7 linked regions of the Xenopus tropicalis genome follow. The protein of the gene in region 1 interacts with the protein of each later gene in a biochemical or structural test. Links are inferred from orthologs where the notes say so. Each region holds a gene or a part of one and is shown in the gene's direction. Other genes may lie near its edges.

Region 1 (4,182 bases):
ACAGCCCACTCCTGCTGCTTGCTCCATCCTCATACAGCCCACTCCTGCTGCCTACTCCCTGCTACATCCTCCCGATCACCCCCACCGTGTCCTCCCGTCACTGCGATAAGGAAGACAGGTAATAGCCAGGGGTGAGGACGCAGCGAGGGCCAGGTAAATTACCTTTGGGGGCAGGATCCGGCCTGTGGCCGTAGTTTGAGGATCCCTGGTCTACAGGCTGTATAACAACAAATTCTGGCCTCTCAAATAAATAAATTGGCTCAGGTAGTTAAGCTTTTAATTTAACAATTACCATGTGGCTATCATTTTGTATGTATATCTTTATTTATAAAGCGCTACTTATGTACGCAGTGCTGTACAGTAGAATACATTAATACAAACAGGGTGTTAATAAGATAATAAATACAAAGTATAATAATAAATACAGATAAATACAGCAGCAATAAGTTAAGAGTTGAGGACACGAGAGGAAGGAGGTCCCTGCCCCGTAGAGCTTACAATCTATATGGGAGGGTAACTAACAGACACAAATAGGCAAATATAAGTGCTGTAGGTCACAGTGGGTGACACTACAATATAAGTTTTAACACAGCTCACAAAAAAGCCTAATTGTGTTACAGTTTTAAATACATACTCGCCGTGTACATTCTAAAATGAATGTCACAGACCTCCTATCCACAACATCCCTTGCAATAGGCTTAAAGCTATTGTCTAGCGCAGTGATCCCCAACCAACGGCCCAGGAGTAACATGTTGCTCCCCAACCCCTTGGATGTTGCTCTCAGTGGCCCTAAAGCAGGTGCTTATTTTTAAATTCCTGGCTTAGAAGCAAGTTTTGGTTGGGTAAAACCAGATGTACTGCCACCTGTAGGCTGCCAGTCCACATAGGGGCTACCAAATAGCCAATCATACTCCTTATTTGGCACCCCAGGTACATTTCCATGCTTGTGTTGCTCCTCAATTCTTTATAAATTTGAATGTGGCTCATGGGTTAAAAAGGTTGGGGGTCCCTGGTCTAGCGGTTAAAGTCAATTTATGTTTCAAATCTGCAACTAACAAAGTGCATAAGTGCGTAACAACACACTCAACTACCCGGGAAAACAAGAAAAGGCGGCTTAAGGCACACTGACGTCACAAGATGTCCCAGAGGAGAGCGGGAGTAGAAGGCATTTACCCAATAAGAAATTCGGGGGCGTGGCCTACTAGTGGCGGGAAGTTTTGTGGAGGCAGCTTTGTAGGGATCCCGGAAGTTCGTCCTGTTATTGAGTCCGATTTGGTTCCAATTTGTGGGACTGAATTTTACAGTAGTGGCGGGGGGCCATGGAGAATTTCCAGAAGGTGGAGAAGATCGGGGAGGGCACGTACGGGGTGGTGTACAAAGCGCGGAACCGAGAGACCGGGGAGATTGTGGCTCTGAAAAAGATTCGCTTGGACACGTGAGTCGCCCCGGGGGCAGAAGTTGTGTTGTTTCCCCAGGAGCTGGGGCTGGGGCTGGGGCTGGGGCTGGGGGGATGTGCCGGGGATCCGGAGTTTGGGAGTAAGGAACATTACACAGCATGAAGGGGGAGCCAGCAGGGCAGGTGTGATGGCTGTGTAAATGGGGACGTGTCAGGGGTGTCCCAGGGAACATATGTGACATTATGTGACATAAGCAGCTAATAATTAGCCCATAGCAGCCAGTGCCTGACTAGTGCAGAGGGATAGTATTGGGCAGGGATTGTAGGTAAACATGAGTGTGATTATCTATAGAACCATGACATTTCCTACTGCAGCAGAAGGAAACAATCAGCAGATACAGTATGGCAGAGCCCAGTGGGAAATACAACACAAGGGCAATATGAATAATAATGGTCACCCAAGTGATGGTACATGGGTCCTGGCCCACAGTCCACCACTGTTATGTTCCAGAATGTTTTATTGTTCAACAACCTCCATTATTACAATCATGTTTAAAGCACCAACATATTCTACAATATTGACACACTGACAAACTGGTACATTGGGTGCAATGAGGCTCTGGCCATACACAGGTTTTAAGGTGAACTCCACCTAGATCAGTGGTTCCCAACCTCCCTAATGCCACAACCCTTTAATACAGCTCCTCATGTTGTGTTGACCCCCAACCATAGAGGAGCGGTGTCTCGTTTCGACCACTAAAGGGGTCCCGACCCACAGGTTGAGAACCGCAGACCTAGACACAACTTAAAATTGTGGAAAACTAAACTTAATTTCAAGCAACTTTGCAATATACATCAATTATAAAACATGCAGCCCTTTTATGATTTTTAATGTAATATGGTTTGGAACAGTTCCCTAAGCCTGGCCCTATGTTCTTCTGCTGATCTGGCTGACTACTTTGGGATTCAAAAAAATGTAACAAGTCAACTGTCCTCACTCCAAATCCCACAATTCCCTGCACATGTGATGTCAATAAGGAAAGGAATATGAGGATTTTGGGTTTTGTAGATTGCATGCTGTCTGTAAGCTGTGGGGAAGTTTTTACAGTTTGCAACATCAATAAAGAGAAGAACTGTTTTGAAGCTGGATTTCAGCATTTAACAAAATGGTATTTATTCATACATTGATACATATATCACCCTGCTGGGTGTGTATTATAAGAAACATATATCCAAAAACCATGAAGTTGGTCCATCCTCTGCTGCTATAATATATAATAGTCTTCTGGTAAGGCTTTGCATTTGATGTTGAAATTGACCTTCAACGGAATTTCTAGGATTCACTTCCGTTGAGCTACAAGGGTATTAATGAGGTTGGGCGCTGAAGCTGGGTGATCAGACCTGGCTCACAGCAAGTGTCCAACTCATTCCAACACTTTTACAGTTAGGAGAGGAAGAAGTTGCATAGAGCCCTAACCTTAACCTATCTCAGCAAATGATTGATCACTATCTGATTATTTAATGTACACACTGTTCTCTTGATGGAAAACATGATTGCTGTAATTGTGATGATATTGTTGATTGCATTGTAATAACTTCCTTCAATCTACTGCTATGACAGTGTCAAACAGAAATGGTTGAAGGTTTTATTGCAACTGCAGCTGTCCTTTTGCTTTAAGCATTCCATGTAGTCTCTGGGTGCCTTTTCCTGGCTCAGACACTTAAGCAGCGTGTGATTGATAATAAGAGTCTTTTCTAACTTGTGACTGAAGCATCTGTCAGAATGAGGTTATATGGTATGAAAGCTACTGTATCAAACCTAAGGGTACTGGCACATGAGGTGAGATAAGTCATAAACGATAAATTTGTGCTACCTTAGGCTACTAATCTCCCCAAAATGCTTTCCAATCGGCAATAATGTAGATCGTCAATGGGAAAATGTATGCTGTACTTTGTTTTTCTGGACTGGAAAAACAAAGCACCACACATGTTTTCCCAGCAGTTATTATGGTCACAGTGCAAGGAATTCCTTCCGTAGTCAGTCAGTCACAAGTTAGAACAGCTTAATCGGAAGTGTCAGAAGGTGTTCCACCAAGAATCTTAAGGTGTCCATATGCCATCGGATCTGATTGTTTAGGAAGGTTGTCAAAGCAGCAGATCTTTCCAGCTAATGCGAGTGGAGTAATGAAATTACAGCGATGGCAATAGGAACCATTGGACTGAGGACTGCATCAATGAACCAATGCACTCCCCACTCTGACAAGAAAATGAAACCTGCCTGATTGACATCTGGCCAATTTTAGGCCAGATATTGGTCGGAGAGGCCTGTCAGCTGCTGCATTGGTCTGAAGGATAATTCTCAATAACCATGTAGCAGTTAGTGATTCCAGATGATTGTCACTCAAATTAATAGGAGTGATTTGCACCATTTATCAACTTTGAGAAAAACCCTCCAGAATTGTTACATTTACCAGTGCCTTTAATCTAATTAATTGTACTCCCAGTTAGAAACTTTCCTGTGCTTCCCAACATTCACATGCAAACACGTTCTTTGGTACAATTCATTGCGCTGTAATATATTTTATATTTTATCTGGCGCAAGTAAACAAATTGTTTTTCTGCCTGTGTAAACTAGATACTGTTTAAAGCAAATGAAAAATTTCATTTTTTTCTATGACTTGTTTTTAGTTAAAGATAGCAATTACAAATACACTTTTGCTTGAACATTCAAGGAGTTTTTATGTTTTGTATTGGTTTGTCAGTTTGTAATGATTATATTTAGGCTG
Region 2 (4,386 bases), on another chromosome or scaffold:
TTCATCTGAATGTAAACTTTTTAAAAATGTTTTTTCTCTGGTAAGTTTACTGACCCAGGCATTTTTGTCTTGCAATCTAGTATGCTGATTTCTGGTGCTTTGAAAATTCACTTTACTGTAGGTCAGTGGTTCTCAACCTGTGGGTCGGGACTATTTCACAGGGGTCGCCAAGACCATCGGAAAACACACATTTCAAATGGTCCTAGGAATAATTTTATGGTTGGGGGTCACCACAACATGAGGAACTGTATGAAAGGGTCGCGGCATTAGGAAGCTTGAGAATCATTGGTGTAGTAGATGTTTAACACATACACATAAGGAAACCCCATAAAACTATACACACTCTAGTCAGGTTACCACCTTACTGGTATTTTACCGTAAAATACCCTACACTGTGTCGATATCAGGCTTTCCAAATGAGTTGTATTATTTTTACTTGCAAAATAGGTTTGATTCCTCTAGATATGAAATTATTAGTCAATTAACAACGCAACGCTTTGTTTGCAGATTTGGAAGAAAGAAACGCTTTAATTGTATAGAGCAGGGGTAGGGAACCTACGGCTCGGGAGCCAGATGTGGCTCTTGATGGCTGCATCTGGCTCCCTGCCAAATCTTTAATAAAAAAAAATAATGTGGAGCGTGGCCTGCGCTTAGCGGATAGAAGACATGTTCTATGCCTTAGAACACATCTTCTATCCGCCAAGCGCAGGCCACGCCCTCCTCCGCGTCCGGCATCCTTACCAGGTTGCACTTGAACCAGGGCCCAGGGAACGGAGAGGGACATTGGAGCAGAAACCTGTCACGCTTGAATTGAAAATAAAATGTGACCAGTATGTCTCTGTTGGGGCTACAAAGAGAAGCCAACTGTGCACTGTGCTAGGTAGCCCTCTAGTTATACCACTAACAAGCCATATTGAACAGCTAAAGATGACACCCACCCTACCTTGCCCCACAGCATCCGCGGCCTTCGGCCTAGCTCCCGTTGGCCATTGTATGGCTCTCACGGAATTACATTTTAAAATATGTGGTGTTTATGGCTCTCTCAGTCAATAAGGTTCCCGACCCCTGGTATAGAGACCTAAGAATATGATTATAATATATAATAATTAAATCAATAGCTATTGCTTCGATTTTGTCTGTGTGTGTCACTGGGCCTGCAATAAACCATCCACCCTCCAGGCTTTTCTCTCAATGACTGCACTTGAGCGCTATCATTTATCGCCACGCCCATGCGACTAGACTCGGATCCATAAGGGCGTGGGGATGAGCGCAGCTTCCGATGACATCTCTAGGAAGTGACGTACGGCGAAGAAGCAAAGGAACTGGCTGAGGAGGAGGTGTGGAGCCATAAAGGAGAGGTTCGTGACGTCACGGCGGCCATTATACTGTACAGTACACTCTGAGAAAGAAGGAGCCGTAGCTGCAAAATTACAGCGGACTGTCTGATAACGTTATTTCTTTATTACCTCTACTAGCTCTGTACCTCTTACGAGGCGCTTTGAAGCCCTCTGGACTGTGTCCGTTTAGATACTGTCGCCTGAGATCCCGGCACTCCCCTGGGTTCCGTATTTTATTCAACTGACGGTCCCCACCCCTGCCAGCAGCGGTCGACTTGTTGGTTTTCTGACGCCATTCATTGGCTCTTGGTCCCTCCGAGGGCATACCCGGTGACTGCCTCCCTAGGCCGCCGGTCTTTTCCTTAGACAGCCATGGATGAAAAGGCGTTCACGAAGGAGTTGGATCAGTGGATCGAGCAGCTGAATGAGTGCAAGCAGCTATCGGAGAACCAGGTCAAGACTCTGTGCGAGAAGGTACGGGTGGCGCAATGGCAACTTTAAATAGACTGCTGGTAGCAGCCGTGATTATTTTAGAACTATACATATATATTAGCCTGCTGTGGAGCTACAGCCATCAATAGTAGTAGGTAGTTCCTAACGTCATATCGGTTTGTGGGCAGTAACATGGAGCGCACGTAGGTCTTGCGGGGGAGATCATTATTCCGTATTGGGGAACGCATTATTCCGTATGGAGGCCGTATCTTTCGCTATTACGGGTTGCTATACACTTTATACAACATGTAGGCTGGTTGGTAGACACATGAAACGTACTATATATGTCTATCGCCCTAATATATGTGGGAAGGCGTGTTACGGACACCGGGGGGCTAGCGTACAGGGGCTATAGTATCTGTAGTGTTTGCTGTACAGCAGCGCCCATGTGTGAGCTGCACTCGGCACGTCCCACTCCCGGCGAGAGGCTCTGTGGGCGCAGGCTCGGGCTGCTAAGCTCATGGCGCCTTTTGTCGTTCATAAGATGGCGGCTGCTCCACCCCCCGCAGGAATGCGCATGCACGCCAGGACGTGTCACTACTAGTGCGCGCCTCGGCCGGCGGCGCGCTCCCATTTGCTTGGAATGTTACAGGGAATGCAGGGGTCATGGGGATTCTTGGTACAGTGAACGTTGTGCTTTACGGCTCCTTGTAGTAAAGTAAGGCCATATTCTGCCAGAACCACGGGCTAACGTAATCCTGATCTATGGCTTGTTGGGAAAATGTGTTGGTGGAGATGCCACAGTCCAAAAGAGTGGTGGGAATTCCTTGTGTGCTGCTGTATAGGTTGGCCAGCCACTGAGCTAGGTAACATTCATTTGAACATCTCTCATTAAAATGAATAGATGCAGAGCTTTCTATTTATAATCACATATAAGTGGCAGTACAATAAATAGGTATATATATCAAACATGCAGATTTACATACAAAGCAGCCAATCACTGACACAAGAGGTAAAGAGGGCCCTGCCCAATAGAGCTTGCAATCTAAAAGGAGTTCACAGGGTTGGCGGTGGTATGCTTTTTGATGTTTTTCTATTTACGCCCAGGGATTATAAGAATGATGTTGTCCCTTGTGGTCCCTCCTGATGTAGCTAGCTGCGGTTAGTACCAGATTCAGCTGATGTTGGGCCGCAGGACAGTGATTGAGTACATTGGCCAATATTGTGGTGCAATCATGCTCCAGTGTGTTTTCCATGGCCATAGTTGTAGCTAGCTGCATCTAATAGGGCGGGCCACACAGTTACTCACTCTGGTAAATTATGTACAAGGTATGGCAACTTTGCCAAGAATCTCCGAAGCTCATGTAAAACGTGCAATTTTATGAAAACAGCACTGCTAGGAAGTGCATACAAATATTTTAGAATTGTTCAGAAATCTATAAATAAAAGTCAATTTTCTTAGTGCCAGGACTATAAACTTAAGGCTGAAGTGTCTATCAAAGGATTCTTAAAGTTTGATTCTGCTCCTATGAGCCTTTTTTGAGCTCACATTCATTTTCTGCTCTATGCCAGCCATTTTTAAGGCTGTACAAGAAGCGGGTTGTTCATGTGGGCCTTTCAGCTGTTGCTTAAGTAGAAAAATGCAGCCAAACCAATTGGTGTTACAGCTGGGATACAGAGAGGCTACTTATAGGCATGCTGTGAGAAATCCATTGTTAGCTGGCCAATAACCTGTGATTGCTTTTTGCCGGCATGGTCCATTTGGTACTAGGGATGCACAGTATTGGCAAAGGGACAGAGAAGCTCAAAGTAGACCCTTTCTGTGGAGAAGTGTGGCTTATTGACTGTATGGGCAGTGCTGCTTTTACCTCCATCAGCTTAATTAAATCCCCCTCTGTCCAAAAGTCATGTCTATTCGCAGATTTACAACAGTGTTGTGTAGTGTGCAGAAAGATCTGCCTGCCTGGGATGTACAATGCAGCTGCATTGCTTAGAGAAGTCTCTACCACTGCACCACGGGAAAGGCAATAATAAGTGTTTGTCACTGTTTTCCACATAAAGCAATCTTTTCTTTTCTCATCACGTGACGGTTATTCAAGCAAATGTAGCTGCAACTCTTTCTTTTTCAAGCCTTCTCTAGCTAAAAACTGACAGACTATGCATAGTACATGGATATGGGGCAGGATTAATGGGCCTCCATACTCGCAATTCCTTAATTAAAAGGATATCTTCATGTAAGAAACTTTACTATGAAATATAAAATAACTATAAACCGCTTTCAAATATACATAAATTGCAGCTTTTAGTGGTTTTATTTTTTTTTAACTGCAATTGTTATTAAATTTAAATATAGTTTCTCTTTCATTGTCTGCATGAATGGATACACATGCTTCTCCATTACATTTACAAGTAACTTTAAAATATAAAACGGTGGTTTTAATAAATAAGCAACTAGGACGATAAAGCGTCATAAGGGCAGAGGCCAAATTAATGATGAATAACTGGGTAAGCCTGTTAGTGCTGTCTAGAGTGTGTATAATTTAGTATTTAATGGTGCTAGTAATTTTGCTTGCATAAGATTCCAGCCTTCTCAGACTGGCAGCAGCTATAAATAAAC
Region 3 (4,222 bases), on another chromosome or scaffold:
CCCTATATATTAGGTACCTACCTAGTGCTACCAACCCCTATTTCTGTAGGGAAATGAGAGCAGGGCAGGCAGTAACCCTTCCAACTCTTTCCCCTGTCTCTGCCCCTATATATTAGGGACCTACCTAGTGCTACCAACCCCTATTTCTGTAGGGAAATGAGAGCAGGGCAGGCAGTAACCCTTCCAACTCTTTCCCCTGTCTCTGCCCCTATATATTAGGTACCTACCTAGTGCTACCAACCCCTATTTCTGTAGGGAAATGAGAGCAGGGCAGGCAGTAACCCTTCCAACACTTTCCCCTGTCTCTGCCCCTATATATTAGGTACCTACCTAGTGCTACCAACCCCTATTTCTGTAGGGAAATGAGAGCAGGGCAGGCAGTAACCCTTCCAACACTTTCCCCTGTCTCTGCCCCTATATATTAGGTACCTACCTAGTGCTACCAACCCCTATTTCTGTAGGGAAATGAGAGCAGGGCAGGCAGTAACCCTTCCAACACTTTCCCCTGTCTCTGCCCCTATATATTAGGTACCTACCTAGTGCTACCAAACCCATCCCAGGCCAGTGTCCCAGTTGACATTAACACATTACTGTGGATGAGATATAAAATAGGAAGTAAGATCTGGCCAATCACAATGCAGTCTCCACTGTTACCATGTAACATAATTTAGGATGTTCAATTTATGTGACTTTTTATCCCATTTAACATTGCATTGCTTTTTGTAGATTCTATGAAATATATTGACATAAATAACTAATTGGCAATATGATAAAATGTAGCTTTAATGCTAGAGTGCAAGCTCTTGTGGCAAGGCAGGCTGATCTTACTGTTTATTCAGAAGTGCTGGTATAACTTGCTGGGGGTTATTAATCAGTGATGAGCTATCCATGCCAGAGAAGCACTGGCACCCAACAACCCTGGCTAAGCCTTTCCATTACCATCAGCACCCATAGGTGGCCAAGTTGACCCAATCCAATTAAATGGCCTTTGGGCCGGAAATTGCTAATGAGATGGCACTGTGTTACATTTAATTCCACAATGACTCAGACATGAGTTTAATTAACCCCAATAATCATGATGGTCTCCCATATACAAATTGGCCAACCTGGTTGCCCGGTGTATGTGCAAGCACCAAATGGACCAAACCATTAATTTACCAGCAGGGGCAGCCTTATAAGGTTCTGGTGCATCCCACCCTAGAGGCAAAGGGTGGCTTTGTGGGGCAGATATTGTGAAGGATTATGAATGGGTATTATGCTGAGTCAGACTGTGGCTAATGACATAAGTGTGGGGCAGGGGCTTTAATATAATTCTACCTATAGGGTGTGTCTGCTCCCTGTAACGAACTAGTAAGTGGATTTAGGGATCCCATTGATTCTCTCCAAGTTCAATTAGCCCGTGGCTAGGTGTCTGCTGATCACTGGCCACCGGAGGAGCAGCTGCTGGGGGCTGTCACTTTGTGTCCCAAGTTGTTGGTTTTTAGCAGGATCCCAGGTGGAACCAACAGGCATTTGTGTCCGGGGACAAGAGCCGGAGACTTGGGGCAGATCATTCAGCTGCTGCCGGGATCAGGGGCTACTGCCTTTCTTTATTGGGATTTACAGAGATATAACGGACTGGCTGGAATCAATTACCCCAGGAACCCAGCTTATTATAGGGGGAACCGCAGGATCCCATTGTTATCTTACTCGGACCCACCTATCAGACTCTTCCATAAATCCCCCCCACGTCCTGCCAACTAAGGGAGAAGAGGGGCTATCAGGGCAACGCAATGGGGTTCCCTAATGGTGTCACCGATGAACCACAAAAGGTAAGTGTGCGAGACATTATAGGGGCTGGATATTGTGTGTGTGTGTGTGTGTGTGTGTGTGTATATAGTGTAGGAAATGTTACATACAGGGGGTGACAGTGAAGGAATGTTACATACAGGGGGGTGTCAGTAAAGGAATGTTACATACAGGGGGTGACAGTGAAGGAATGTTACATACAGGGGGGTGTCAGTAAAGGAATGTTACATACAGGGGGTGACAGTGAAGGAATGTTACATACAGGGGGGTGTCAGTAAAGGAATGTTACATACAGGGGGTGTCAGTAAAGGAATGTTACACACAGGGGGTGACAGTGAAGGAATGTTACACACAGGGGGTGACAGTGAAGGAATGTTACACACAGGGGGTGACAGTGAAGGAATGTTACATACAGGGGGGTGTCAGTAAAGGAATGTTACATACAGGGGGTGTCAGTAAAGGAATGTTACACACAGGGGGTGACAGTGAAGGAATGTTACACACAGGGGGTGACAGTGAAGGAATGTTACACACAGGGGGTGACAGTGAAGGAATGTTACATACAGGGGGTGACAGTGAAGGAATGTTACACACAGGGGGTGACAGTGAAGGAATGTTACACACAGGGGGTGACAGTGAAGGAATGTTACACACAGGGGGTGACAGTGAAGGAATGTTACACACAGGGGGTGACAGTGAAGGAATGTTACATACGGGGGTGACAGTGAAGGAATGTTACATACAGGGGGTGACAGTGAAGGAATGTTACATACAGGGGGTGACAGTGAAGGAATGTTACATACAGGGGGTGACAGTAAAGGAATGTTACATACAGGGGGTGACAGTAAAGGAATGTTACATACGGGGGTGACAGTGAAGGAATGTTACATACGGGGGTGACAGTGAAGGAATGTTACATACAGGGGGTGACAGTGAAGGAATGTTACATACAGGGGTTTAAGTAAAGGAATGTTACATACAGGGGGTGACAGTAAAGGAATGTTACATACAGGGGGTGACAGTGAAGGAATGTTACATACAGGGGGTGACAGTGAAGGAATGTTACATACGGGGGTGACAGTAAAGGAATGTTACATACAGGGGGAGACAGTGAAGGAATGTTACATACAGGGGGTGACAGTGAAGGAATGTTACATACGGGGGTGACAGTGAAGGAATGTTACATACAGGGGTTTAAGTAAAGGAATGTTACATACAGGGGGTGACAGTAAAGGAATGTTACATACGGGGGTGACAGTGAAGGAATGTTACATACGGGGGTGACAGTAAAGGAATGTTACATACAGGGGGAGACAGTGAAGGAATGTTACATACAGGGGGAGACAGTGAAGGAATGTTACATATGGGGGTGACAGTGAAGGAATGTTACATACAGGGGGTGACAGTGAAGGAATGTTACATAGGGGGTGACAGTAAAGGAATGTTACATACAGGGGTTTAAGTAAAGGAATGTTACATACAGGGGGTGACAGTGAAGGAATGTTACATACGGGGGTGACAGTGAAGGAATGTTACATACGGGGGTGACAGTGAAGGAATGCTACATACGGGGGTGACAGTGAAGGAATGTTACATACGGGGGTGACAGTAAAGGAATGTTACATACAGGGGTTTAAGTAAAGGAATGTTACATACAGGGGGTGACAGTGAAGGAATGTTACATACGGGGGTGACAGTGAAGGAATGTTACATACGGGGGTTTAAGTAAAGGAATGTTACATACGGTGAAGGAATGTTACATACAGGGGGAGACAGTGAAGGAATGTTACATACAGGGGGTGACAGTGAAGGAATGTTACATACAGGGGGTGACAGTGAAGGAATGTTACATACGGGGGTGACAGTGAAGGAATGTTACATACGGGGGTTTAAGTAAAGGAATGTTACATACGGGGGGTGACAGTGAAGGAATGTTACATACGGGGGTGACAGTGAAGGAATGTTACATACGGGGGTTTAAGTAAAGGAATGTTACATACAGGGGGTGACAGTGAAGGAATGTTACATACGGGGGTGACAGTGAAGGAATGTTACATACGGGGGTTTAAGTAAAGGAATGTTACATACGGGGGGTGACAGTGAAGGAATGTTACATACAGGGGGTGACAGTAAAGGAATGTTACATACAGGGGTTTAAGTAAAGGAATGTTACATACGGGGGGTGACAGTGAAGGAATGTTACATACAGGGGGAGACAGTGAAGGAATGTTACATACAGGGGGAGACAGTGAAGGAATGTTACATACAGGGGGTGACAGTGAAGGAATGTTACATACGGGGGTTTAAGTAAAGGAATGTTACATACAGGGGCAGAATGGGGGGAGACAGTGAAGGAATGTTACATACAGGGGCAGAATGGGGGGTGACAGTGAGGAATGTTACATACAGGGGCAGAATGGGGGGTGACAGTGAG
Region 4 (4,148 bases), on another chromosome or scaffold:
GCACAAGTGGCACAGGAAGGGGTTAAATAGCACCCAGGACATAGCAGGGATCCCAGCAGCACCTGGGTGCCTATAGCAGCGCAGCAAGCTGTTACACTAAGTAGCACACACAATGTGGCTTGTCCTCTTCTGACCCCCGTTGAAATGTTGGGGGTGTTACACCCTGACAGTTTGTGTAACAGGATACCTGCTGATATTATGGAAGAAGCACTTATATAAATGTGATATCCGCTCTAAATAGAAATGGCTAAAGGTTTGGGGGCTCTGCTGTCACTATTGACTGGGGCGAATGTAACTTCCATTTGCACCCCACAAGCCTAGGAGAGCCACAATAGTAACAATTACAAGTATTATTACACGTAACCCCCTGAAACATAAACGGGTTTATTCTGTATTGTTACAATGAATGTGTTGGGTAAGGTCAGTGGATCCTGCCCAGTGGATCTGGGGTGCATTGTGGGTGCTACAACCCAGAGCCAACACAGCTTTTCCATCAGCAGTGCCAGCCAAGTAAACAACTCTGATACATTTCATATGGCGGCTGAAGTTGCTGGCAGAAAGCGAGATATTTGGCAAATCACGGGTTAATACGTTTCTGGGTAGGTTTTGGGGGGCATTAGCACGTACAATTATCATTAGGGCCCCCCTTTGTTCCCCTCTTCTGAACTCCTGCTCCCAGCACAGTCAATGGAGCCATGAAACAGCAGACAAAAGTGAGCTGAAAAGTTTCGTTAATAATTTGCAAAGTATCAGTGTAATGGGCAGAAATAGGGAAATTGGGGGTGCCACTGCCACACGGTTAGGGGGGACCCCCCATGCTGTTGCCGGGTCCCCCAGGAGGGCTCCAGATCCTCCCACCTCTCCCTGATGGACATACTAAGCTCGGAGATCCCTGTGTTAGTTGGGGTAGCTTTTGGGCACCCCAGTTAGGGCAGGAGTGGGCTCAGCGGAGACTTTCCGACGCCCAGCTAAAGATCAGGGATGCAGCCACCCCCTGCCCGACTCTCGCCCACATGGGGGCCCCAGGGGCCGGCACTCGGGGGGCACAAAGGACGAAATGTGTGTGATTTGTGCAATAGCTCGGCTGGTTTCGGGGCTCTCCCGCAGCCTTCAGGGGCTCCTGCAACTGAGAGAAGCCGAGGCTTTACACACCAGAGACTGAGCTTCCAGAGCCTATAGCCAGGGCGGCCTCAGCGCTTACAGGGGCTCAGGGAATGGCCACTTTGTGTTCGGGAAGAAACACAGATAGTTGCGGAGCGGCGCCATGTCTGCCTCATCCCGCCCGCAGCCGCTAGTCCTCAACTCGGTCCGACCCCAGCAAATAAAAGGCGGGAACCGGCGGGAGGGGCAAACACAGGGAGGGAAGGTGCTGAGGAGAGCGAGTGCGGCTGGCACCGAGCTACAATAGCTCCGCACAGCTAACAGGGCGCACAAGGGACGGGATCCTTCACTGAAGGGAAGCTTACAGAGAAGCCATTGCCAGGGCTTGACATTTATACTACAACATATGCGCAACTGACAAGAAAACAGGTGCAAACTCATAATACCTGGGGCAGAAAAAAACAATTAAACAATAAAGAATTTGGAGAACTTCAGTGGGAGGAGAGACTGGATTTGGAAAGGTCACTACAGTTTATTTCCGAGAACTTTGTTCCAGGGCTCTTATTGGCCATTGGATTCTAGCCTGAGTATCAAGCATCTCTTGCACCTTGGCTACAGGTTGCCCAGGAAAGACTTATCTTGGCAAATACCTCCTGCTGCACCACTAGTTTCATTCTTAAGCCTACACCTGTAGTGAAGGTTAAACATGACAGAGAATTCAGCTGCTGCTCCAGCTGGCAAGCCCAAGCGATCAAAGGCATCAAAGAAAGCAACTGACCACCCTAAGTATTCTGACATGATATTGGCTGCAGTGCAAGCAGAGAAGAGTCGTTCTGGTTCATCGCGTCAGTCAATCCAGAAGTACATCAAAAACCACTATAAAGTTGGAGAGAATGCAGACTCGCAAATCAAACTGTCTATTAAGAGACTGGTGACTTCTGGCACCCTCAAACAGACCAAAGGAGTGGGTGCCTCTGGATCTTTCCGGCTAGCCAAGGCAGATGAGGGCAAGAAGCCAGCCAAGAAGCCTAAAAAGGAAATTAAAAAAGCAGCTTCACCCAAAAAAGCTGCTAAGCCCAAAAAAGCTGCAAAGTCTCCTGCCAAGGCCAAGAAACCTAAAGTGGCAGAGAAGAAAGTAAAGAAACCAGCTAAGAAAAAGCCTGCACCTTCTCCTAAAAAAGCCAAAAAGACAAAAACTGTCAAAGCCAAGCCAGTGAGGGCATCCAGAGTAAAGAAGGCCAAGCCCTCCAAACCAAAGGCAAAAGCCAGCCCAAAGAAATCTGGACGGAAGAAGTAAAGCTCCTGCAGTCTCTGGACAGCTCCTAACAACTTGTGTACATAGTTTTATAACCTTCACTTTTTCCAGTGCAACTTTATAATGATGATCAGCTTCCCTGCAATTCCCAAGACAAATTTGTGTATTTGACTTTGCCTGCACTAGGGGAATTAAGCAAGATTTAACTGCTTCATTTTTTTTTATTATTTTGGTGTTAAAATGTAGGAATTTTTTTCCCAAGGAAGAAGTTATCAAACTGGGCTTAACATTTTCAATGATTTTGTGTTTCCTAGCCATTTTAGGACAAGCTTTAACGATATCATTGCACAGAGCTTGGCTTAATTATTATTAATCTACCTGTTCTTAAATGGGAATAATGATATCTTTAAATATTGTTCGGTGTGATTGTGCTACATTATTGTCAGAAATCAGACGATCTTGACCCTAAAATGTTGCTTATAACTTAATATTTAAATGGTAGTTTAAATATGATTCATAGTACAATTAGTTTGGTTATTGTCTACTGATATTTTTGTAGTTTTTTTATTTGTAGGAATGAGTCAGCAGTAGACTAGAGCACTTTTTTGCTGGACAGGCAATGGATCACCCCCCTGTAAGTTTGAACTCTTCATATATTCACACGAGATCCATTTTTTTTTTTTTTTTAAACATACAAACGTTTGTTCAGGAATGATTTACTAACTGTACTTATGCAGCAGCAAGTGCAATGCCTAGAAGATTTTGATACCTTTTCAGCAACATTTTAAATGTTCTCTCTATGGAGAAATGATTAGCTATTAAGATATACAAATATCTTCCAACTGAAGACTGTATTTGTACTTGTCAACCAAGCTTTGAGGGTATTAGGCGTCGTTCACGTACTGTGAATGGTGCAGCTAATCCTTTTCAGTATCATTTGTGCTGAAAATGGTCAGTAAGCAGTGAACCATAACATTTATTTCTGTATCGGTGAGAACTAATCGAGCAAGTGACAAGTGGCCATGAAATACAAATAGAAATATTTTATTCATGTGTTTTGCTTTGTAGATTAGGATTAATCCTTTGTAATCATGACTTTGAAAATAAAATTGCCAAAACGTGTATCTCTGTCTTTTTTGCTTATTTCACTGCAAAATCATTCTTTAACTCTTAATATTTTAGTTTCAGAAGGTTGTGTTTTGAATTTGTTTGGTTGATGAGGTTATTTGTTTGAAACTGCTATATAATACTTTTTGGTTAATATAGTTTATTAGAATAACTAAGCAGGAAAGTGATTGGACCTCAAAACAGTGAAATCTCCAGCATGCGTTCAGTAGCTCAAGTCAAGGGATATTGGGAGATGTAGTTCTGCAATGTCCTGTTCTTAATATTAAGGGATTTCTATTGTGGGAGAGATTAAACAGGCTTATCAAAAATAGGTTTATATAAAGTATAGACGATAATTTGCATTACATTAAAGAGACAGTTCACTGCAATAAAGTATCGCTGCTGGAAACCTCAGGACCTTGTTGCACATGTAAGAAGATTCTTTTCTTTGTTCTTTTCCAGCGTATACAGAAAAATATGTTAACTTCCATGAGACTGTATTTTACTGGTGTCTTATAAAGATGCCTGCAACACACAGAAGGGTTTGCTTCTGCTTATATTGCCACGTTGACAGCTTAACCCCTTGGGTGCAAGTATTGCTATGAATAACCTCATGTCTTGATTTTGTTGACGTGCTGCTCAATTCATTTTCACAGCAGTTTTCCTGATCTGAAACTCTCCATGG
Region 5 (3,698 bases), on another chromosome or scaffold:
CTTAAATTACAAATTATGGAGATCAGATTTGGTACAGAATCTTGTGCTGTTGTGTGGTGTTGAACGACCAGATCGCAAAATCTGATCCAAATCTCCTGTGTAGCTTAGCCCTTAGAAAACCATTATTCTGAGGGATTTACTCATTGCCACCCATGTCGGTGGCTTACACGGGAACATTTGCTGCTTGTTTAACATGGAGGTGAGGGGTAGAATTGAGGTTCATGAACTGCTGCCACTTTGTATGATGCTGAATTCCTCTGTGCCTCTCCAGCAAAGCTCCCTGCCCTTGACCCCAGCTCAGAGGATGCCCCGTGTATCATTAGAGCACTGTGTGAGCTGTACGATGGAATATTTGTGGAAGCCAAGGGGATAAAAGAGCATTACTTCAAGCCATACATATCAAAGCTTTATGATAAAAAGGTAACTAAACAGACGCCCATCCTACTGCACTGTAAATAAAGCTCATTACTAAATGACTTATTTTATCTTGATTAATTGTCTTTTTTTTTTTTTACAGATTTTAAAAGGAGCCTGCTTATTGGATGTATCTAGTTTCACAGATAACAAGTGAGTAATTTATCTTTTAAGTTGTAGTGTAAAGGTCCCCATACACGGGCCAATTCTAGCTGTCGATATGGGTCCCTTAGACAGATTCGGCAGCTAATCGGCCCGTGTATGGGGACTACCGACGGGCCTGCCCGACCAATATCTGGCCTGAAATCGGCCAGATATCGATCGGGCAGGTTAAAAATCTAGTCTGATCGGGGACCACATCGGCTTGTTGATGCGGTTCCCGGACTGACTTTGCCTATACCCGTCGTTATAGTTCGATAGAATTAGCCTGGATTCTACTGATATCACCCACCCGTAGGTGGGGGATATCAGGAGAAGATCCGCTCGCTTGACAACATCGCCAAGCGAGTGGATCTTAAGGTGTATGGGGGACCATAACCTCCAGGGGGCATGGTGCACAATCAGTTTGGAGAGGCACTATTGTATTTAACCAGATTGGTTAGCCATACCGCTACTCTTCTGATCTAGTGCTGCCATATTGGACTGTAGTCATTCAGATTGGTTAACTGCTATGTTTGCGGGTGGGACCTGTCTCTCTGGGTGATTTTGCATTATTCGCCACCCTAAACTGACTAAACAAAATTGCCCTATTTGTGGGCAGCCAGATCTCTGGAGTACTGATGTAAGAATTTGTATGTTATTTCCTTGCAGTAATTTGTAATAAAACCTTTTGGACTGAGATGATCAAATAAACTTTCTATAAACGAATTGTATCCCTTCTTTCCCACAGTAAATCCTTAAATAAGGAGTATGAAGAGTACGTCCTTACTAAGGGAGACTTTGATGAGAGGGTGTTTCTGGGTGTAGATGCAGAAGAGGAGATTGGAAGTCCCAGAAAATTTGTTGTGGAATTTCCCATGGGAATCTGCACTCCACGGAAACAAATGGAAAGCAACCTGCAGCAACATTTTGAGAGGGTAACATTGGCTAAATGGTTCCACAATGAAAAATCATTACTTCTAAAAATATCCACTGTTCTTTTGAGTTAAGGGGGTCAATCCTAAAGGGTTAATTAAGGTTAGGTTTGGCTTGAGTGATTATTTGTGCCCTGGGTACCCCTGGAACTACAGCAGGGTGACTGTTACCCCAATGTTTCTATATATCTGTAACCTTGTTATGGGCTAAGGGGGCCCAGCCTGAAGGCCAGTTAGGGGGGGATTTGGGGTGAGTGCTTATTTGTGCCCTGGGTACCCCTGGAACTATAGCGGGGTGACTGTTACCCCAATGTTTCTATATATCTGTAACCTTGTTATGGGCTAAGGGGGCCCAGCCTGAAGGCCAGATAGGGGGGGATTTGGGGTGAGTGCTTATTTGTGCCCTGGGTACCCCTGGAACTATAGCAGGGTGACTGTTACCCCAATGTTTCTATATATCTGTAACCTTGTTATGGGCTAAGGGGGCCCAGCCTGAAGGCCAGTTAGGGTGGGATTTGGGGTGAGTGATTATTTGTGCCCTGGGTACCCCTGGAACTATAGCAGGGTGACTGTTACCCCAATGTTTCTATATATCTGTAGCCTTGTTATGGGCTAAGGGGGCTCAGCCTGAAGGCCAGTTAGGGGGGGATTTGGGGTGAGTGCTTATTTGTGCCCTGGGTACCCCTGGAACTATAGCGGGGTGACTGTTACCCCAATGTTTCTATATATCTGTAACCTTGTTATGAGCTAAGGGGGCCCAGCCTGAAGGCCAGTTAGGGGGAGATTTCTGTTACACCTGTCTATGGTCGCAGCAATATAACACTTGGAATCTTTCACTTCATTTTGCAGAAAAGGTCTTTTGCACCATCCACTCCTCTGACTGGTAGAGGTTACCTGAAGGAGGAGCCAACTGTAATCACGCCTGTTTCATCGGCAACACAGTGTGTGAGCAGGTTACAGAGCATGGTGGCAGGGCTCAGAAATGCTCCAAGTGAGCAGCTGATCGAAGTTTTCAAGTCCTGTGTTAGAAACCCATTAGAGAATGTATTGAATATTGTCCGAGATATCGGACGTCGATTCTGCCATCACTATACACAATCCACAGAAGACCAGCCTGGGTCTCATATTGGTAAGAATCCATACAGATCATTTGTTTCATTATAGCTTTTAGTCAAATTTATGGGCAATAATTTTTCATATACCTACATTATTTGTTGTGTTTGTGTAAGCTAATTAATTTTTGCTCAAATGTGAAATTTGTCACGCTTTTTTTTTTTTTTTTTTTTTTTTTTTTTTAAGATTTTGCAGTCAATCGGTGGAAACTGGCTGAAATTTTGTACTTTAAAGTACTAGAGACCATAGTTGTCCAGGAAAGCAAGAGACTTCATGGGAAAGATTTGACGGTAAGAAATAAAAGATCTCATTGGGATTGTCTTAACGAGATCCACAGGCACCGGCCCATGAGAAAAATACTCCCAGCACATTGCCCTGGCATCTTTTATCATAAGAGCTTCATTCTTTTGCCATTACCCCTGCACAATATACTACATTTTGGCCCTGGCCAAGGGAAAAATACTTGGCAATCTATCCTAACATTTTGCCCCTGCCCCACAGTGAAATATAATTTACATGTCATTTTAAAAGTGTTTTAAAAACATAAGGATACCTGTGGCTTCAAATTAAGTACATATTGTGACGCTCAGATAATACGGGGTAGCTGGATTCTTATTGGATTTTATAATCTAGCCAATGGCTGCTTATTTCCAGTGTCTCATTGTATTCTCCCTTTATTTTTTTCAGGCTCTACTAGAGCAGGACATCTTTCATCAGTCACTGATTGCCTGCTGTCTGGAAATTGTGCTATTTGCTTACAGTTCTCCCAGAACCTTCCCCTGGACCATTGAAGTACTTAATCTGAGTGCTTTCTACTTCTACAAAGTAAGTTCTGGAAAACACCACAGCTGAATAAAACTAAATATTAAAAGTGCATGTTTTCTACTTGCGTCAAATGGAAAATTAAGTTGAACTCTTGGATGGTTATTGGGGTGGGAAGTCCCCCACAATTCCTTCCCGTGACACTTTTATTTCCAACCTTAATCCCTTTTAGGTAATAGAAGTGTTTATTCGTTCCGAAGATGGGCTGTCACGGGATATGGTGAAACACCTCAATACCATTGAAGAACAGATTTTGGAGAGCCGTGCTTGGACCAG
Region 6 (4,235 bases), on another chromosome or scaffold:
GTCGGATTCGTGGGTTAGTAAATCAGCCCCTAAGTGTATATATCCTTCTCTCAACCCTACGTTTTTCAAACAGGCTGAGAGAAGCAGATCTGCTTCCCTATGCTTTTGGGTTTTTTTCCCGTGTGCCCACACTCAGGCAGTTGCCATAACCTTTAATGCAGGCACACAGAGAAGCACAAGAAAGCAGATCCGCTTCTCTCAGCCTGGCCGAAAAAACGCAGGATTGAGAGAAGTGGGTATGCGCTTTGTGTGACCTCGCCCTAAACTAAAAAAAAAAAATGAGACATTAAGCCCCTAGGTAAGAATAGAAGGATTTGATTGGGGGGAGATCAAATATGAGACTTGTTTGTTATATGCTTGTTATTATGCATGGGATTAGTTGTCCTTTATTGAACTAAACCTGCAGGTCCTGTTGTAAATCATCTTTGGTTATGGGACTATTAACTGACAGAACCTAACAATTTGGTCTAAAACCTTATCCCCAGCCAGTGTCCTGTGAGCAACATGGGTGTTACTCCCAGTGGCCTCAAAGCAGGGGCTTATTTTTGAATTATTGACTTGGAGGCAAGTTTTGGTTGCATAAAAACCCAGTGTAAAGCCACACAGAGCCTTCTCTTGGCTGCCAGCCCACATAGGGGCTACCAAATAGCCAATCACAGCCCTCCTGAATTTCTGCTTATGTATCCTCAGTTATCAGTTCAGCAGTTCCCCTGCGAGTTTGTTCAGCTTTACCAGGCTACTGGCTGGACATAGTTTACATGTTTATGGCCTAAGATTTTAAACTCCACCAGGGCAGTGTATTGAATATAATCTGTGTAGGCGCTATACAAATAAAGCATGGGATTTGGTTATTGAGGAGGTTGAATGAATGAATATGGTTAACGTTAGCTCTATATCTTTCTCACAGCATTAAAGCCCAAGCCGATGTGACTGCGTTCCCACAAGAACACTCACCATCCTGTAAAATGCACGTTTTCTGCGCAGCCTTCAGACTCTCCAGCCAGCTTGGAAGCGCCATCTTGGAACCTGTCACACGCGGGGCCGAGTTACTATAGCAACCCAAAGCTTGCCGGCCTCTTAGGCAAACCGACCTGAGTTGCCATAGTAACGCAGCGGACTGCCTTGTAACGTGTACACAAAACCTATCAACATACCTATCCCAAAATATAAAACGTCTCTACAAAGCTACTGCTGTAACGGGATATTATATATTCTCTTATTATCGGGCTCATTAAGCAATGGACTCCGGTGACCACTTCCGAGTCATCCGGATACGGAAGTGACCTAATTAAATGTCCGTGTATGTTTATAGATGTGGTGTTGAACTCTAGTAAGTGAATGTGAGGGGGGGACAAAGCGATAAGTTACTGTTTGTTTCTCTGTTTGGGGCGCTGTGTGTGTATTTTCCATGTAACTATTTGGGCGCAGTGATCTATAGCAGTGATATATAGAATCGTGGAACTACATCTCCCTCCGAGATGGCTGGAGAGCTGCTGGGGAAAGAAAATAACACATAATCACACATTAAACCGTACTGTTACTTAGGGTTTGGGTTCCATAAGAGAAAGTATTGATTACCTTCCTTAGTGTAGCTGTTTGTATAGCAGAACATTAGGCAATCACAATGGTCTGTTATTAAGTGTACTTATATTATTTGCTACTGTTTATTGCTTGGGGTGGGGTGGGGTGGGGTAGGGTAGGGTGGGGGAATAATGCCAATTTTACTAGAAGGACGAAAAGATTGATTTAGCAGCCCTGGGTTCATTTTGTGGTAACCCTAGCCACTGGTTCCTATATATAAGCCCACTGACTCTGAGGGCAATGGGGAGATTCCCTTTGGTGGAAAAAGCTCCATTGACTTTATTGGTCAATGGGAGGTCAAGAAATGCCTCCCATTGGGGTTAACAGTAATCACCAGTCCAGACGATACCATAAAAAAAAGTAGAGGGCAATTGTGAGTTTTACTGCCTCCCCACTGCCAGTCTCTCTGTGCCATTGCCAGTAAGCTGGCCATATGTGGGTTGATATTGTAAGCCAACTCTGCCTCTCTTGGCAGTCTGCAGCCTAATGGCCGATGCACAGGGCAAAAGCGATGATCTCCCTACCTGTATCTACTCAGGGTTTGGCCAGGTAATGATATTTCTGGCAGGAAACTCCCATCAGGCAGATGCTACATAGAAACACAGTCCTTTCTTAATGACTCTGCCCGGGTTGATAGTTTTGGCTGGAAATCCCATCATCAGGTAACCCCAGTCTGCGAGTTAAAGCCACATATAGGGGCTGATTTACTAATCCACGAATCCGAATGAGAAAAATTCGGATTGGAAAACTAACATTTTGCGACTTTTTCGTATTTTTTGTGATTTTTTTCGTAAATTGTCGCGACTTTTTCGTAACCGTTATGACTTGCGCGAATTGTCGCGACTTTATTATAGCCATTACAAATTTCGTGAATTGTCGCGTCTTTTTCATAGCCATTATGACTTTTGTGAATTGTCGCAACTTTTTCATAGCCATTATGACTTTCGTGAATTGTCGTGACTTTTTCATAGCCATTATGACTTTCGTGAATTGTCGCGACTTTTTCATAGCCATTATGACTTTCGTGAATTGTCGCGACTTTTTCATAGCCATTATGACTTTAGTGAATTGTCGTGACTTTTTCATAGCCTTTACGACTTTTGCGAATTGTCGCAACTTTTTCGTATTGAGCGATCGAAAAAGTCGCAAAATACAGATCATTACGAAAAAAACACATTCAGACGCTTTTCGGACGTTCGTGGATTAGTAAATCAGCCCCATAGTGTACAGACTGGGAACCCGCAACACAAATTTAATATAACACATGTTTCAGAGTAAATTTACATGCAGATTGCCTGGTTGCACTATAAGTAGTTCAGTCTGCTGCTGTAATTATTAGAAAACCATACAGGATTTCTATTCCATATCCACTTTTAAAAGAAGAGTTGGCAGTTCTTGCTTTAGTGAATGTAAATTCAGATGATAAAATGTTAGTTGGATCTGGTAAAATTGTAGGTTACACCCAACTCTTCATATGAATGACAGGTAATAAATATAATAATGAATATATAACCAAAATAATGTTTTTGTTTTACCATAGGAATTGAAGCTACTTGACTGCACTCTTGCCAAATTGCCCTTAATTTTGCTTAAACGCTAGTCTGAAGGAGACACTGAGGAGACACTAACTTTGCAAGAGGTTTTCCTTGTAAGTACTACTCATACAGTATTGCTTTTAAAAAAGAACTAAACCCTAAAAATGAATATGGCCAGACATGCCATATTTTATATAAAGAACGTATTGAACCAGCCTAAATGTTCAACATCTCTGTAGTAGTAATAATCCAGTCCTTTAAAGTTGTCACAGGGGGTGGCCATACTGGACACTTCTGTTAGAAGTGTCTGCGACACTGCACATGCTCAGTGCACTCTGGGCAGCTGTTGAGAAGCTAAGCTTAGGGGTCGTCCAAAATTAATGGGCTGATGGTTTCAGAGTTTCAGATCATCTGTGTTAATTACTAATCAGCCTTATATTGTGACATTTATATCATATATATATATATATAGTATATACAGTATAATGTCAATCGGTCCCTAAGCTCAGGTAGGTGACAGCAGCACAGAGCATGTGCAGGGAATCAGCAGAAGATTGGGGGCTACTGGGGCATCTTCAGTGGCACATATCTTCTTTGCTAAAGGGCTGTGGGTGCCTTGGGCTGGTACAGAAGCAAAAAACATAATGTACAACATTTCTAGCCTACCTCTTTAGTTAAGCTTTAGTTTTCCTTTAATAAAACAAGACTTTATGATATTTTTCATATCCAAAATGAACTGTTACTATTCCAGGGGGCATATTGGTCTCTTTGGGCTCATTGACAAGCAGGAAAATGCTAAACTGAGATTTAATTGTGTGGGAATTTCAGGGGCAAATGATAGGTTGCTTTTACTAAATGAAATAGCAGTTTCTTCCTCCTACTAGCAGTATGTGTTCTTTTGTGTAATGGGAGAAAATGGATTAACTTTTAGCATGCTGTGGTTTTTATAGTATTTTAATAATTTGCCTCCCTTTTTATACCTTTTTCCAGCTATTGGATGAGGATCAGTTACTAAAAAACTATTTCCCTGTGAAGCTACATTTTTATTATTATTTGTACTTTTTAGTACTTATGTTTTTATTCAGTCGTTCACCTATTCATATTTTAGTCTCTTGTTCA
Region 7 (4,131 bases), on another chromosome or scaffold:
TATTACTGCATCAATTTGTTACACTTTAAAGACACTCAGTGTCAGGCTCCAGCGCCAGAATGAGATAAATGGATTCAGATTAACCTCACAGAGTGCAGGAAAATAAAGCAGTCTCTTCTCCTGCGTGGGGAGCCTTGATGTGCCTCTGGTAGAGTGCAAGCTCTTCTGAGCAGGGGCCTCTCCCTTCTGCCATTGCTTTGTTTCCTGTTGCATTGTTGACACCTGAGGCGCCGACTTCAAGGAAAATAAACAGTATCATTAAAACAGTATTGTTAAAACTAGCTGCTGCTGAACTACAATTCCCAGAATCCCCCCACAATCAGGATGGCCGATTACACAAGAGAGCTCCAGAATGTAGCTGTCCAGCTGTTGCTGAATACTAACTCCCAACATGCTTAGACAGACTGCATCCAGGAAGCTGTAGGTCAACAACAGTCTCAGTTAAAGCCCCCATTACAGACAATTCCAATACATTGTATAGGATCATTGCAATGATCTGACCAGTCAGTCTACCCAGCCCAATGGCCATTCCATATTTCTCACACCCATGAAAAATCACCATATTCTACAGCGCTGTATATTGAATGTTCAGATCAGTCTCTCCATGGCCACCTTTACATTTCTTGCAAGTATGTGCCAGTGTTATCTGGTTGGCACTGCCATACAAACAAACAATATGGGTTAGACATTCCTTTGCACAGCCAGATTATTCTATGCAGCTTCAACAGGAGGAAGTTGAACATATTTAGAAAGAAGCTTCTTTTCTTCCTCTTGTAAATAATACTGAAAACTGTGCCAATGCCCAAACACCCATCCCTAAAATCAACTCCCTTGCACCCCTGGTCACAGCACCTTAGTTGCACAGCTATAGCCATACCTGCAGCATCACTATCACCTAATTCTTCCACTGTCCAAAGAGGATGCTGGGAGTTGTATTCAGCAACAGCTGGAGGATGTGACAGTCGTGTCCCTGTTACAGAATGAAAGTGGTTCTGCAGCAGCAGAGGCAGTGGCTTGCTGGCATCTGACCCTCTGCCCTGGTGGCCCCAGCCAAATCATTGCACCCAGCGGGACATTCCTACCCTGTGCCAAGCGTTGGAAGCTGCAATTTACCAGCACAGCTGGGATGAAAAAGCCACGCCTCCAGCCACCGCTCATTGGTTGAGAATGCGGAAGAGACTTGGGATTCAGTGCAAAGTCTTTAAGCCAATCGGGAGGCAGGGAGTCCGCCTACTTGTCAGTGGCTGCTCTGGGCACTATATAAAGCGGAGGGAAACGCGGCGGGACTCATTCTGAGCGGATTAGGAGAGGCGTACGGCGTTAGCTGGTTGTGCTGCGGTTATATTAGAGTGTGTGTGTGCGCGGTGGGAGCGATCCATTCCTACCTAAACGGTACCATGAAAGCATTCAGCCCAGTAAGGTCTGTCCGAAAAAGCAGCCTAACGGAACACAGCCTGGGCATAGCTCGGAGCAAAACGCCAGTGGATGACCCGATGAGCCTCTTGTACAATATGAATGATTGTTACTCTAAGCTGAAGGAACTGGTGCCCAGTATTCCCCAGAACAAGAAGGTCAGCAAGATGGAGATCCTCCAGCACGTCATCGACTATATCCTGGACCTGCAGCTCGCCCTGGATTCCCACCCCAGCATTGTCAGTCTCCATCATGCCCGGGTGGGGGGCAGCACGTCCCGGACCCCCCTGACCGCCCTAAACACAGACATCAGCATCCTGTCACTGCAGGTAAGGGGCACCCTAAAGCCGTCATACCCATTGCCCACCTAGGCTTACCCATTGCCCACCTAGGCTTACCCATTGCCCACCTAGCTTACCCATTGCCCACCTAGGCTTACCCATTGCCCACCTATGCTTACCCATTGCCCACCTAGACTTACCCATTGCCCACCTAGGCTTACCCATTGCCCACCTATACTTACCCTTTGCCCACCCAGACTTACCCATTGCCCACCTAGGCTTACCCATTGCCCACCTAGGCTTACCCATTGCCCACCTAGGCTTACCCCTTGCCCACCTAGGCTTACCCCTTGCCCACCTAGGCTTACCCCTTGCCCACCTAGGCTTACCCCTTGCCCACCTAGGCTTACCCCTTGCCCACCCTTGCTAACCCTTTGCCCACCTATGCTAACCCATTGCCCACCTAGGCTTGCCTACAGCTGTCATACCTGTCATTAGAGCCATAATACCTGTATATCATGCCCACCATTATAACTCCCTGTTCATACCCACCATCATACCTTTATATCAACACCCACTGCCCCCACAATGCCTTCCCTTCTCCTACATACTTACTGCTCCCAATATCCCTCCCATAGCCCCCAAATCTGCTCACCCTTCCCCCCCCCCCATACTCGCTGCCCCTAATGCCACACATTCCCGGAGCGTCTAAAGTTGGCGCCCTGTGCCCCCTGGAAATGCCTCCCCTTCTCACGAATGTAATTACGGTAAGGGATGCCATTCTCTCTGCCAGTCCATGCCTGTTGGTAGCCGTGAGTAAGTGCTCTAAGCCCTTATTAGCCATGCTCTTTGCCCAACTTTACCCCCACTCCAATCAAGATCTACTATACCTTACCCTGAACTTACGGCCCTGCCTGCCCCTTCCCATTCCGTGCCCCCTGGCACTGCCCGTACTCATGTGCCCTCTCTCCTTCCAGGCGGCTGAATTATCGGCAGAGTTCACAGACGAGAGCAAATCCCTTTGTCCTTAAAATGGTGAGTTAAGTACTTTAATTAAGTGAAGGGGGGGATGGTTGTTACTTAGTGGGGTGCCAGGCTGCTAGCTGGTATTATACGGGCCTTGGCACTTATGTACCAATGTCTGTAGTAGCGGCTGAACTGCTCCTCTGTGGCTGTCAGGAGCTGTTAGTTATAGTTCAGGAGCTGTGTTAGTTATAGTTCAGGAGCTGTGTTAGTTATAGTTCAGGAGCTGTGTTAGTTATAGTTCAGGAGCTGTGTTAGTTATAGTTCAGGAGCTGTGTTAGTTATAGTTCAGGAGCTGTGTTAGTTATAGTTCAGGAGCTGTGTTAGTTATAGTTCAGGAGCTGTGTTAGTTATAGTTCAGGAGCTGTGTTAGTTATAGTTCAGGAGCTGTGTTAGTTATAGTTCAGGAGCTGTGTTAGTTATAGTTCAGGAGCTGTGTTAGTTATAGTTCAGGAGCTGTGTTAGTTATAGTTCAGGAGCTGTGTTAGTTTTAGTTCAGGAGCTGGAGGGTCGGCACTCGGGTAAAAGTTCTGAATGTACAGCGCTGTCAGCTCTGCAGGCAAGTGAGGGCAAAGCACCGCAAGCCCCTATAACTTTGCTATCTGAATGGGTGTGTGTGAGCCCCATGCCAGGGTACAGAGTTGGGTGTGTGTGAGCCCCATGCCGGGGTATAGAGGTAGGTGTGTGTGTGTGTGTGTGTGTGTGAGTGTGAGCCCCATGCAGGGTTATAGAGGTGTGTGTGAGCCCCATGTAGGGGTATAGAGGTAGGTGTGTGTGAGCCCCATGTAGGGGTACAGAGTTGGGTGTGTGTGAGCCCCATGACGGGGTATAGAGGTAGGTGAGTGTGTGTGAGCCCCATGCAGGGTTATAGAGGTGTGTGTGTGTGAGCCCCATGCAGGGGTATAGAGGTGTGTGTGTGTGTGTGAGCCCCATGCAGGGGTATAGAGGTGTGTGTGTGTGTGTGAGCCCCATGCAGGGGTATAGAGGTGTGTGTGTGTGAGCCCCATGTAGGGGTATAGAGGTGTGAGTATGAGCCCCATGTCGGGGTATAGAGGTGTGTGTGTGTGTGTGAGTCCCATGCCAGGGTATAGAGGTGTGTGTGAGCCCCATGTAGGGGTATAGAGGTGTGAGTATGAGCCCCATGTCGGGGTATAGAGGTGTGTGTGTGTGTGAGTCCCATGCCAGGGTATAGAGGTGTGTGTGTGTGAGCCCCATGTAGGGGTATAGAGGTGTGAGTGTGAGCCCCATGTCGGGGTATAGAGGTGTGTATGTGTGTGAGTCCCATGCCAGGGTATAGAGGTGTGCGTCCCATGCCGGGGTATAGAGGTGTGAGTCCCATGCCGGGGTATAGAGGTGTGTGTGTGTGTGTGTGTGTGTGTGTGTGTGAGCGTGTGTGAGCCCCATGCCGGGGTAT

The links.
Region 2: of the proteins of cdk2 (region 1) and ppp2ca, one has a biochemical effect on the other in vitro, tested with the Homo sapiens proteins (2 studies listed by BioGRID). The link is inferred for Xenopus tropicalis from reciprocal best matches to the Homo sapiens genes CDK2 and PPP2CA.
Region 3: of the proteins of cdk2 (region 1) and wee1, one has a biochemical effect on the other in vitro, tested with the Homo sapiens proteins (3 studies listed by BioGRID, with this or other methods). The link is inferred for Xenopus tropicalis from reciprocal best matches to the Homo sapiens genes CDK2 and WEE1.
Region 4: of the proteins of cdk2 (region 1) and h1-0, one has a biochemical effect on the other in vitro, tested with the Homo sapiens proteins (11 studies listed by BioGRID and IntAct). The link is inferred for Xenopus tropicalis from reciprocal best matches to the Homo sapiens genes CDK2 and H1-0.
Region 5: of the proteins of cdk2 (region 1) and rbl1, one has a biochemical effect on the other in vitro, tested with the Homo sapiens proteins (5 studies listed by BioGRID, with this or other methods). The link is inferred for Xenopus tropicalis from reciprocal best matches to the Homo sapiens genes CDK2 and RBL1.
Region 6: of the proteins of cdk2 (region 1) and poll, one has a biochemical effect on the other in vitro, tested with the Homo sapiens proteins (2 studies listed by BioGRID). The link is inferred for Xenopus tropicalis from reciprocal best matches to the Homo sapiens genes CDK2 and POLL.
Region 7: of the proteins of cdk2 (region 1) and id2, one has a biochemical effect on the other in vitro, tested with the Homo sapiens proteins (2 studies listed by BioGRID). The link is inferred for Xenopus tropicalis from reciprocal best matches to the Homo sapiens genes CDK2 and ID2.

The regions. Positions count from the first base shown.
Region 1 is NC_030678.2:137,886,377-137,890,558, reverse strand, and holds the start of cdk2 (cyclin-dependent kinase 2), read left to right. Parts: upstream 1-1,243; 5' UTR 1,244-1,319; coding exon 1,320-1,435; intron 1,436-4,182. UniProt on the Homo sapiens protein: Serine/threonine-protein kinase involved in the control of the cell cycle; essential for meiosis, but dispensable for mitosis. Phosphorylates CABLES1, CTNNB1, CDK2AP2, ERCC6, NBN, USP37, p53/TP53, NPM1, CDK7, RB1, BRCA2, MYC, NPAT, EZH2.
Region 2 is NC_030679.2:26,543,047-26,547,432, forward strand, and holds the start of ppp2ca (serine/threonine-protein phosphatase 2A catalytic subunit alpha isoform), read left to right. Parts: upstream 1-1,411; 5' UTR 1,412-1,709; coding exon 1,710-1,811; intron 1,812-4,386. UniProt on the Homo sapiens protein: Catalytic subunit of protein phosphatase 2A (PP2A), a serine/threonine phosphatase involved in the regulation of a wide variety of enzymes, signal transduction pathways, and cellular events.
Region 3 is NC_030680.2:7,008,045-7,012,266, forward strand, and holds the start of wee1 (wee1-like protein kinase), read left to right. Parts: upstream 1-1,408; 5' UTR 1,409-1,772; coding exon 1,773-1,811; intron 1,812-4,222. UniProt on the Homo sapiens protein: Acts as a negative regulator of entry into mitosis (G2 to M transition) by protecting the nucleus from cytoplasmically activated cyclin B1-complexed CDK1 before the onset of mitosis by mediating phosphorylation of CDK1 on 'Tyr-15'.
Region 4 is NC_030680.2:122,560,634-122,564,781, reverse strand, and holds h1-0 (histone H1.0), read left to right. Parts: upstream 1-1,370; 5' UTR 1,371-1,807; coding exon 1,808-2,398; 3' UTR 2,399-3,478; downstream 3,479-4,148. UniProt on the Homo sapiens protein: Histones H1 are necessary for the condensation of nucleosome chains into higher-order structures. The histones H1.0 are found in cells that are in terminal stages of differentiation or that have low rates of cell division.
Region 5 is NC_030686.2:42,366,319-42,370,016, forward strand, and holds part of rbl1 (retinoblastoma-like protein 1), read left to right. Parts: intron 1-271; coding exon 272-420; intron 421-517; coding exon 518-567; intron 568-1,303; coding exon 1,304-1,490; intron 1,491-2,336; coding exon 2,337-2,616; intron 2,617-2,786; coding exon 2,787-2,890; intron 2,891-3,287; coding exon 3,288-3,425; intron 3,426-3,594; coding exon 3,595-3,698. UniProt on the Homo sapiens protein: Key regulator of entry into cell division. Directly involved in heterochromatin formation by maintaining overall chromatin structure and, in particular, that of constitutive heterochromatin by stabilizing histone methylation.
Region 6 is NC_030683.2:30,778,564-30,782,798, reverse strand, and holds the start of poll (DNA polymerase lambda), read left to right. Parts: upstream 1-1,300; 5' UTR 1,301-1,330; intron 1,331-1,735; exon of another isoform or gene 1,736-2,130; intron 2,131-3,121; 5' UTR 3,122-3,229; intron 3,230-4,235. Other genes in the region: protein DPCD, read right to left, coding at 955-1,018.
Region 7 is NC_030681.2:137,437,142-137,441,272, forward strand, and holds the start of id2 (DNA-binding protein inhibitor ID-2), read left to right. Parts: upstream 1-1,299; 5' UTR 1,300-1,397; coding exon 1,398-1,742; intron 1,743-2,671; coding exon 2,672-2,725; 3' UTR 2,726-2,729; intron 2,730-4,131. UniProt on the Homo sapiens protein: Transcriptional regulator (lacking a basic DNA binding domain) which negatively regulates the basic helix-loop-helix (bHLH) transcription factors by forming heterodimers and inhibiting their DNA binding and transcriptional activity.